Nothobranchius furzeri: one gene and its partners. The protein of the gene in region 1 interacts with the protein of each later gene in a biochemical or structural test. Links are inferred from orthologs where the notes say so. Each region holds a gene or a part of one and is shown in the gene's direction. Other genes may lie near its edges.

Region 1 (3,500 bases):
CTCAATTATTCCTGCTGGGGCGCGTGCTTTACATGTGCCGCCTGTTCTGTGTAATGCCTTACCTGCTGCGATCCACCAGTCAACATCTATTGCGGCCTTCTAGTCACGACTAAAAACACACTTTTGTGACCTGGCTTTTGCATCTTGACTTCCATCCATTGTCTGAACCCGCTTGTCCACGTAGGGTCATGGAGAGGCTGGTGCATATCTCCAGCGGTCAATAGGCAGTCAGGCGGGGTACACCCTGGACAGAGAGCCAGTCCATCGCAGGGCAACACAGAGACACACAGGACGAACAATCACACACTCACACCTAAGGACAATTTAGACAGACCAATTAACCTAACAGTCATGTTTTTGGACCGTGGGAGGAAGCCGGAGAACCCGGAGAGAACCCACGCATGCACAGGGAGAACATGCTTACTCCATGCAGAAGACCCCAGGCCGGGAAGCGAACCCAGGACCTTCTTGCATCTTGACTTGTTTCTTGTTAAATTTCTGCAGGGTATCTGCAGGTCCTTAAAAAGTCGTAAAAAGTCTTAAATTTGCTTTTCCAAAATTAAGGCCTTGAAAATCCTTAAAAATGATAAATAATCCTTAAATACAGTTTCCAAAGGTCTTAAATTACCAAAGACCCAATAAACAAGATTCTTTTATTTCTATAACATTTTCATGAATTTCGAGTGTTCAGCATTTTTTGTGTATGATGGTTGGCGTATGCGGAACCGTACACATTCAGTTGGTTGTGAAAGGGGGCTATTTTTAGATGAGCACATTAGCTGGTTAAGCTAGTGGGAGCTTGCGCCATGGGAAAGTGCAAGTTTAATGGTAACTGGATGGCTAATCCCACATTCGCGACGTGGTTAGCACCGGTTCCCGGCAATAGCTGGAAATTAAATATTAAATTTAATTTAAAAAAATTGCTTAAATTTGGTCAAAGTGGCCTTAAAAAAGGTCTTAAAAAGTCTTAAATTTGGCTCCCTTAAACCTGCAGATACCCTGTATCACTTTGTTATATTTATTTGTATTTTTATTAGGTTTTATTCATTTTTTTAGAATAGCCATTTTGGCAGTTTTACTTGTTTTATCGTGTGCTTTGTTTATGATATGATGGATGTCTTAGTACTTGTGTCTGTACTATATGTAAGGCGCTTTGGTCGGCTCATGCTGTATTGAAACGCGCTTGACAACAAAAGTGGTATGGTGTGGTTTTGTTTCCCAGCTGAAAGGATTCATCATCGTCTTGTGTTGCTTCTACAGAGACGTCCACGCTGTTTGTCTGTGGGATGACAAGGGTCCAGCTAAGATCCATCAGGCTCTTAAAGAGGACATTTTAGACTTCATCAAACAAGCTCAAGCAGTAAGATGGCTTCTTTTTGTCCTTTTAAGTTCAACTCTGTCCTCCATACTGAAGAGTTCTGCTCATTTCAGACCTGAAAGAAGAAATCTGTGATTAAACTCTAGCTTTGGAATCTGGATGGATCTCATTTTTAATTATCGAGTCTTTTAAAGAGCAAGTCACCTCCAGACTAGGGTTGTCACGGTGTGAAAATGTAACCTCACGGTTATTGTGACCAAAATGATCCGGGTTTTTGGTATTATCGCGGTATTTTTCAAACGGTGTTGCATATGTTCAGAAAGCATTGATAGTCCTGTTCTACACAAACTGAAATAGTTTAACAGTGTTTATTAAACCTAAAATAACACAAAGCCTTAGCAAAAGTGCAACTTTTCACAAGTAAAGGAACAAATAGCTTCTTTTTCTGGAACATGTTACAGTAGTCAGTAGGGCTGCAACAACGAATCGATAAATTCGATGAAAATCGATTACTAAAAGCGTTGGCAACGAATTGCGTCATCGATTCGTTGTGTCGCACAACTCTTCCAAAAGCGCCCCCCCCCCCTCCCGCCCGCCGTTGCGCGCAGACCAGAGCAAGTCAGATCAGCGCGAGGGAGAGCCGGCAGACTTGCGCTGCTGCGAACCGGTTCCGCATTGTTGCACAGCGATCCAGGCAGCTGCTTCCAGCGCACGGTCCATTCTCAAAGTGGCGCAACCAAAAAACTATAATTAGCACACGATCGTTCATGTCCGCTCATGTTCTCTACTTTCTGTCTTATTTGTGCCTGAAGCTCGCTACTGCGGAGCTCATCACCTGTGCTGTGGTGATGTCACCTCACGCAGCATCGAAAACGCGCTCTCCGCTTTTCAGTCAGGAGATCCCTTTGATCTGCTCAAAAGTAACTGATGAGGTGAAAAGGTAAGAATCCAGGCAACAGATTTTCTGGAGAGTTTAGAGGAGATGCAGGAAGATGAGAGACAGACAGGACAGGAAAATAGTTCAATAAAAACAAGAAAACAAAACAAAGTGTTGAAAAGTAAAATGTAGGTAGATTTATCTCCACTACACGTTTTTACCAGTAAAAAACAACAAGTTATACACATGTAGTATTTATACATCTGATACAATTCAGATCACCTTCAAAACTCAGTCACACACCCAGGGCCGTTTCAAGACATTTTGGGGGCCAAGGCAAAATGCCCCCCCCCCCCCCCCCCCCCCCAATAACTGGGCTCCCCAGAAGCCTCTGTGTAATTCATGCCCTCTCCAGTAGTGTTAGTTATATGGTGTTTATAAAAGCCCCTCAGACATTACTGACATGTTCTAATATTATCAGATGAAAAACTAAATTATCAGACATGCTATCTCATCTGCTGCTTTTCTAAACCTGCTAAAAGTAACAAAACCATTTGAAAGCCACTATTTGTGGATTCTCTGAAAGTTTCCATGGAGTGTGGGACAACTTATTTATTCATTGATCCTATCGTCTAATCTCACAGCTGAAACAAGCATCCTTAATAATCTGTGCACAGGAAGCTTACCGATGCTGTAGTAAAACAAAAGGTATAATAATTTATTATTAATAAAACCTTGTTGCAGCACTAAAGCAGAAAAATTAGATTTTGCATTAAATATGCAAAATATTTACATATGAATTGTTTTAGAGCCCTTTAATTGGCAGAATCTGATATTAATTTAGTTCTTACAAAAAATGGGTCCCAACATGGTTTGTGTGGCGTTGCCATAGTGTGACGTCATAGGCACAGATCCCCTGTCCTCTTGTTTGGAAATGGAAATATGGTCACCCTACATTAAACAAACTGTCCACCCGGGCTTTTGCGCTGCACAGAGACGCTTCGCTGCCTATGACTGAACGTCAGTTGAGAGTCAGTCTCATGCAGACTAACCAATGAAGAGAGGGCCTCAAGTTAAGACCCTCTCCTCATTGGTCAGTCCACACGAGGTGGGTCAAAGGTTACTCTGGGCGGGTTACGTGATGTCAGGCATTCAAGTATTGAGTATATTTACTGCATATTACAGTAAAATATTCTGTATGTGACCACATTATGGTGATCCTTGAGTCGTGATGATGGAGCCCTTGAATATTGTTGCCCAGGGTACAACAAAGTGTTAATCTGGCCCTGGTTCCGCCGTCACATT
Region 2 (3,451 bases), on another chromosome or scaffold:
GAAAACATGAATAATAATTCTATCAGTTTTCCTGTTATTTATACTAACTTTGCCGTTAATTCCACTTTAAAACCCTTAATAATTTTAAATGGTATGTTTTGTTTTGAAGGAATCTACAGGAAGTGTAATGCTTTGTTTAGCTTTATGAACGCTACCTGTAGTAACAGTTTTCGGCCGCTAGAGGGCGAAAAATACTCACGACAGCCAGGGAAAATATAATAATGCTAAAAGATTGAGTTCTCATGTTTGAAAAATTTGTACCTTATAACGAATAATTTCTACACGAATGTCCCTGTGTGTGTTTATTAGATGTAGTTGGGTGTTTATTGGTCTTGAACTAATAGTTTTACATCAGACGGGTTTGATTTGACAAACTCATGCTGATAAAAATATTAGTACCTAAATATATGTATCTCATATCACCTATTAAGAATTACATTTTTAAAATGAATAAAAATCCCTCTAAATCTTAGCGAAGCCAGCCATGCCCATGCTTCCAAATGGGAAGCAAATGAAGTCCTCTCGTAGATGTAGTTTTGCCCTGTGGCCGCCAGTGGGCGTATAATCGAATGTTTGTGGGGCTGATAGCTAGCTTCTTTAGCCTATTGATTTAATCTTGTTTAACACGAATAACTGAAATACATTTATCAAGTTTCATTAGTTAAATTGTTTTATTGTGTATTTTCCGATTTTATACTAACTGTGTTTTTAACGCCAATTTAAAAATCGTAATTTTTAAGTTGTATGAATGTAGTACCTGCAGCAACCCGATTTCTCCAGCAGAGAGCGCAAATTAAAGGATTGAGTACGCAGGTGTTTTAATACTCTGATGGATATATTTATTTGCATTATTTAGGTCAATCAAATAAAACGACAGATTGCAAGTAATTGAATTAAAAGTTTATTATATACAAAGAACAACCAGTATAAAGAACCGCATTTCTATTATGTTACAGGTTATGTCTGCTATGTTGGTCTTTTGCCACTGGAGGGCGTCAACTCCCCATTCTCGCTCATTTGCAGCGTTGTAGCTAGGGGAGTGTGTGGTACACAGTAGTGTGATGAGTATGACGCAGTGTGTAGCTCAGATAGATACACCTTTCTATACAGCATGAGAAGTTTTTTTTTTTTTTTTTTGCATGAGAAATTAAGGGTGTGTAAAAGCAATGAATAAAAGCAATACATGTGCTATTGATTTAACAAATTCTTTACAGAGAAATGTTAATAAGCAGGGGTTCCATGGTGTAATGGTTAGCACTCTGGACTCTGAATCCAGCGATCCGAGTTCAAATCTCGGTGGAACCTGACCTTTTAACCAATACTTCTTCAAATATTAAGAGTGTCAACGGTAACAATTCAGAAATACAACCTGATTTTGTTTTTTCAAAAATTATTAAGAAAATAATATTTTCTTTCGAAAATTTGCTTAATCTGGTCGAACAGGAAGTGACGCTATTTTCCGGTAAAACTTAGATAAACGCTTCCGGAGAGTTCAAAATGGCAGCAGCAATGGATGTTGACACGCCAAGCGGTACAAATAGTGGAGCAAGCAAGAAGCGCTTTGAAGTGAAAAAGGTACGATAGTTGAAAGTTTGTCTGTGTTGACTAAACTAAACGGTGCACTTTGTCAGCAACGCCGAAAGGTTTAGCCCAACATTAGCTAACGCTAGCTTGCTAAACACCGTTATCGGTGTTTAGCTGTTAGCCTGCTACAAGAAATAATTAATCATTATTCTGTTTATGGCCTTAAAGTCTAAACTAGAACTTGTAGAGAAATAAGAGCGATGATAAACTCTCAGTAGTTACACAATAACAGCACGATTTAAAAATGGACAAATACCTCTTTAATCTCTTAGTCTACATGCTAAATTAGCTTAGTCAGCTAAGCTGTACATCTCGAAATTTCCCAAGATTTAAAGTATTTAAATGACTGTCACATTTCCTCAGGATAAAATGTTAAGTAGTTTTGATGACAAGGTTTTTTTTCTCCTATTCATTACATAATTTAAAAGTAACGGTACTGATAGAGAAGGATTTTATTAATCAGATTTTAATTAACTCCTTTTCTAGATTGAGGTGTCCATGGAAGCATTTTTTAATCAAAGGTTGAAAAACTTTATTTGTAAGATAACTTTGAATTAGTACTGAATGTCAGAGACCCTACAATGAGCCATAGAATTAAGGTTTTTATTTCCAGGTATGAGGTCCTTCATTTTAAGTTACCTTCCTATGAACAGAATGTGATTTTTGTTCCAGTGGAATGCTGTTGCACTGTGGGCCTGGGACATAGTGGTGGATAATTGTGCTATCTGTAGGAACCACATCATGGATCTGTGTAAGTTCACATAGGGGTGTTTGATTGCATGTGAGTTGTTGGCAGCCCTCTTACACAATTCCTCATCCTTCATCAGGCATAGAGTGCCAGGCCAACCAAGCTTCTGCAACCTCAGAAGAGTGCACTGTGGCCTGGGGTGTCTGCAATGTGAGTTTCTAAGGTGCAACTTTCAGTAGGATGATAGATATGGGTCATTTGACTCTGAAAGGCACTCTACAAGTGCAGATCACTTATTTTTCAGTCTTTGCATCTTTGTTAAACTGCTATCCAGTCGTTTAAACATTTCCTTACCTTCCATAGCATGCCTTCCATTTCCACTGTATCTCCCGTTGGCTGAAGACCAGACAGGTGTGTCCCCTGGACAACAGGGAGTGGGAGTTTCAGAAGTGAGTCGGATCCATTAATGCATATATGATTTTGAGGATTGTTTGATGCTTGACTCAAACACATTTTCGTTTTTTCTTTCGCAGATACGGACACTAGTTGTGATATTGACCTGTTCCTTGGCTTCTGCGAGCATCAACCTTTCACTTTCCATTTTGCTTCCTGCTCATATACCTAGATGTTATTTTACATGTTTTGCTATGTTGTAATTCAATAAACTGTAAAACCATCAGTCTTCAGGAGGATGTAATCACATTTGAATTGAAGTCGTAAAACTAGATTAAGTGCACATGATATGCTCAACCATGCACCTTCATAGTTTAGTTCATGAGGTACATTGTGTTGGGACGAAAGTCACGAGCATCTACAGCCACGTGGAATGACATGAGATCTGACACGGCTGTAATCCTCAAGCTACAAAACAAGCAGCACAGCTGGATTAAACGTCTGGACTACACATACCGCCTGAATAATGAAATAACTCACATGCTTATTTAATTTAGTTTATTTAATAATCAGATTAATTTAAAAACCAATAAAATGGAACAAAATGTTTTTAAATAGTTTTATTGTGAATATTTTTCCAACAGGGTGAGACAGACATCCTTTTATTTGCATTTATAACAGATTAATAACAAAACATGCCAACGCTCGTGAGAGTTCGGCTGTGTTCAGAGACAGACAGAGGTTAAACCACGTATTAAATGGCTGTAGAAACGTTCATATCTTAAT
Region 3 (3,941 bases), on another chromosome or scaffold:
GAGGTTGTGGATTGCTTTGAAGGTATGGAGGAGAATTTTGAAGATGGACCTGAATTTAACTGGGAGCCAGTGAAGCTGCTGGAGAACCGGCGTGATGTGGTGAAAGGAAGGGGTTCTGGTGATAATACGGGCTGCTGAATTCTGGACCAGTTGAAGTTTATGAAGGAGTTTGTTGGGAAGACCATAAAGAAGTGAATTGCAATAGTCGATACGGGAGGTGACGAGGCTGTGGACGAGAATGGCGGCAGTGTGAGGGGTCAGTGAGGGACGGAGACGGTTTATGGAACGTAGATGGAAGTATGCTGACCGAATTATGTTATTAATGTGAGCCTGAAAAGAAAGTGAGCTGTCGAGAATGACACCCAGACTCTTGACGTGAGGTGAGGGGGAGACTGTGGCGCTGTCAATAGTTAAAGAAAAGCTGTCAGATGTTGAGGGGGTGGAGTTAGTGCCAACAAGAAGAAGTTCAGTTTTATTGCCGTTGAGTTTGAGGAAATTAGAGGTGAACCATGATTTGATTTCAGAGAGGCAGAGTGTAAGGGAGGATGGAGGGAGAGTTGAGTTGGGCTTACTGGAAATGTAGAGCTGGGTGTCATCTGCAAAGCAGTGAAACTGGATATTGAATTTGCGGAAGATTTTGCCGATAGGGAGGAGATATACTATGAAGAGGAGGGGCCCCAGGACAGAGCCCTGGGGCACACCTGACTTGACTGGGGAGGGTTCTGAGGTAAAGGATTTTAACTGGATGAACTGGCAGAGTCCAACTCTCACTGGGTCAATAATCACAATGAAATATTAAATCTTTACAGGTTCATAATTATTTGTAAAGGTGGACATTTTCCTCCAACCACATCATTACAAATACTACTACTACTACTACTACTACTACTACTACTACTACTACTACTACTACTAACAATAACAATTATTATTATCTTCATCATCATTATAAAAATAATAATAAAATAAAAATTATTATTATTATTATAAGTAGTATTAGTAATAGTAACAATAACAATAATACTAATGATAATTATAATATTAACGGTTATTAAAATGTTTATAACCGTCCACCAAGCAGCGCGGAACTATTTATCATTACCGTGTGTCCACACGGAAGCAAATAACAGGGCACTGCTCCATTGCGCTTCCGTTTGCCACCGGAGCGAAGTTTCTGTCAGCTGATTCCCAAATCAGTTCCCAGTCTGTTGTAGAATCGGTAATAACTAGTTTTGGATCCTTTGAGAGGAGGACGCGTCTGCTACCCGCCAGGTGTGGTGCTGCTGGCGGCAGCTTGAGCTCGCAGAGCCGCTGATTATGGTTTAGCACGAAGAGCTAGCTGGGAGACAGAAGGTAACACACAAAGAACACACAAGCGGCTCCTGGTGTGAAAAGTTCAGCCGTCAGAAAGGAGCCGTGTCATTTGTGCTTGTGAGCAGAAACCTGGTGTTGAGCGATCTGTCTGGAAACGTCTACGTAGCTTTTATTAGCAACATTAGCGAGGTGTTGTTATGGTAACCCGACCAAAGAGGAGGAGGAAGAAGGTGAAATCTTAAGTTGTCGCTCTAAATCAGCTGGTTTCAGCGCCTTTAAGAAGACTTGGGTTGTTTGTTAGGATTCCTCTGTTGTCACGTTGACTGGATTCGTGTGTGAAAGGCAGGCCACCTAGATGAGACGAAATGAGGGAAGTGAGCATTAATTTGTGATTAATAGGCTAGACTCACTGTTAAAGCTGTAGCAGGTCAGACGTCTGACCACAAACAGGCCTGAAAAATAAGGACAAAACAAATGGCATGCACTATTTTTAGCTTTATGATCAGTTTTTATGGAAATAAATTAGTATACTAATGATCAAGCATCCAGAGCAAAATAGACAGAGAAGTTCACCTTATACTTTAGAAAATTAGTCTTCAGACTTTTTCTTTGACAAAACAATTTATTTTCATAAATAATGAGTACTCCCCGCTGATGTTATGCTCAGACTCAAGCTCTAAATTGAGTGTGTGTGTATATATATGTATTTATTTATTGAAGCATAAAACTAGAACTGCATGACACTTCGTTGAATGTTAAGACTCTTTTAGGTATTATCTGATTAGGGCTGCCTGTCTTTCTTTTCCCTTTGATTGACCTCTGGGCGACAATATCTTGAGACCATTTATAACGAGGTCTGTGATTGATAGGTTAACAAACAGATGCATCTTTCTTACTTCATCACTTTTATTAAACGTACAGGTGAAAGTGGCTTGAAATGATACAAAGAAAAGATTGTTGGGTAGGTTTAAGGGAAAGCCTAAAGAGTCTTTCAGGTTTTCTAAAAACAAAACATCTATTGTACAAGACCTTGTTAAAAGTTTGGTGTACAAGCACTACCGTAGTGCGGCGATTAAAGTGTTGTTGCGTTTGTTTTGCCGCTGACTTTGTGAGCTCTGCTGTGATGATGTTGCCGTACAGACATATGAGGTGACTGACAGCTGGGGCAGGTGTGTGTCGAGTCGGGCTCGGCGACACACGACACCATCACTCCCCCTCTGAGTGAGCTCACCCAGTGCACAAACTGGGTTTTACAGAGTGGAGACGTTACAGGAAACCTCTTTTTACCTGGGTTTGTTGCACTAATACAGGTGGAGTCAGGACATCAGTTATAATATAAAGATTATAAATGATATTTGGGCCTAAAGCAAACTTGGCTCCAACTTTTCTTGCTTTGGCTCAAATTGTCCCAAACATTTTAGTTTTGTTTTCCACTCATCTGAAAGCACAAATGGACCCATTTGTTTGTTTACATCCAGAGACTAGCCGTGACCTTTCCTGATGAGGCTCAGGGGGCTTGACTTTGCTATGGCATCATAAGTGAAACATAAAGTTCATCTTTGTTTGCTGAAGTCATCATGTTGTGGTGTCAGAAACCCTGTCTGACTTCAACAGGATTACAGTTCGGTTTAAAACGTCACAGCAGCGTGTCGCTGAGTCACACCCAAGGACTGTTTTGGTGGTTTGGACTAAAAAGTTGAAAACCAGCTGGTAACACTTTAGAGACTCAGAGAGAAAAATGTCCAAAATAATCACTGCATTGTTTTTCCTTCTGAAGTGTTTTCAGTTTTTCTTGTTTAAACATCAAATAGAAAACATGACACCGTTGAACAGGAAACGTCTGATTCTGCATTAGACCGAGCCGCTCCACCTGTTTAGTGTAATCTGAGTTTATGCATTTATTCCCACTCCAGGTGCTCTTTGATGCTGGTGACCAACACGATGAGTCACAGACACAATCACTCCTCTTGGTGGAAACTTTCAGCAGATTAGTTTCAAAGCGAAGCGGCTCTTATTCAGCGTTTTCTCACACCTCTGTTCCCTCCCGGCCGGCTCTGAGCGGAACATTCAAACCAACTTTCTCACATACAAACAGACACTTTGTTGTTTCTCTGTTTGTTTGTTTATCTATTCTGATAAAATGAAGATGTGGATCTGTGTCACTGGCAGACGTTGGACAGGCGGTGAGGCTCGGGGCAGAGAGAGGCGTGTCTCAGCAGCGTAGCCATGCTTACATTGGCTAGCAAGTTGAAGAAGGAGGATGGAGGGAAAGCAAGCCGTGCCTCTGGAGCCTCAGACTCCACCCACAGGGTCTCCATCAGGGACCGCCTCCTGACCAAAGGTACCAGTATCTCCTTATCGTCTCGTTCCACTCTGAAGGATTTGTAGGCGTGGAACACTGAACCATTACTAATGATTGTCTCTGATTCTAATAGTAATGAGTTTTTCATGCAGGCTGAACATGAAAATAGTCTCCTACACCTACCTCCTGCATTAGCTTCTGATAGAAAACAGATGGTGAAACTCTAGAAAATCCTGACAGATTTACGTCACACTGTCACTAACATTCATGGACTCACCCATCTGGACTCACGACGGGGAAGGCTGTTGTTGGTTTAGTCCAGGAA

Evidence for each region.
Region 2: the proteins of cullin-5 (region 1) and rbx1 form a complex in vitro, tested with the Homo sapiens proteins (4 studies listed by BioGRID and IntAct, with this or other methods). The link is inferred for Nothobranchius furzeri from reciprocal best matches to the Homo sapiens genes CUL5 and RBX1.
Region 3: of the proteins of cullin-5 (region 1) and ube2f, one has a biochemical effect on the other in vitro, tested with the Homo sapiens proteins (2 studies listed by BioGRID). The link is inferred for Nothobranchius furzeri from reciprocal best matches to the Homo sapiens genes CUL5 and UBE2F.

Annotation. Positions count from the first base shown.
Region 1 is NC_091750.1:28,008,917-28,012,416, reverse strand, and holds part of cullin-5, read left to right. Parts: intron 1-1,260; coding exon 1,261-1,360; intron 1,361-3,500. UniProt on the Homo sapiens protein: Core component of multiple cullin-5-RING E3 ubiquitin-protein ligase complexes (ECS complexes, also named CRL5 complexes), which mediate the ubiquitination and subsequent proteasomal degradation of target proteins.
Region 2 is NC_091752.1:65,786,479-65,789,929, reverse strand, and holds rbx1 (E3 ubiquitin-protein ligase RBX1), read left to right. Parts: upstream 1-1,439; 5' UTR 1,440-1,497; coding exon 1,498-1,575; intron 1,576-2,256; coding exon 2,257-2,335; intron 2,336-2,411; coding exon 2,412-2,482; intron 2,483-2,635; coding exon 2,636-2,721; intron 2,722-2,805; coding exon 2,806-2,818; 3' UTR 2,819-2,951; downstream 2,952-3,451. UniProt on the Homo sapiens protein: E3 ubiquitin ligase component of multiple cullin-RING-based E3 ubiquitin-protein ligase (CRLs) complexes which mediate the ubiquitination and subsequent proteasomal degradation of target proteins, including proteins involved in cell cycle progression, signal transduction, transcription and transcription-coupled nucleotide excision repair.
Region 3 is NC_091754.1:2,840,585-2,844,525, forward strand, and holds the start of ube2f (NEDD8-conjugating enzyme UBE2F), read left to right. Parts: upstream 1-1,141; 5' UTR 1,142-1,353; intron 1,354-3,460; exon of another isoform or gene 3,461-3,483; 5' UTR 3,484-3,540; coding exon 3,541-3,655; intron 3,656-3,941. UniProt on the Homo sapiens protein: Accepts the ubiquitin-like protein NEDD8 from the UBA3-NAE1 E1 complex and catalyzes its covalent attachment to other proteins. Together with the E3 ubiquitin ligase RNF7/RBX2, specifically neddylates cullin-5 (CUL5).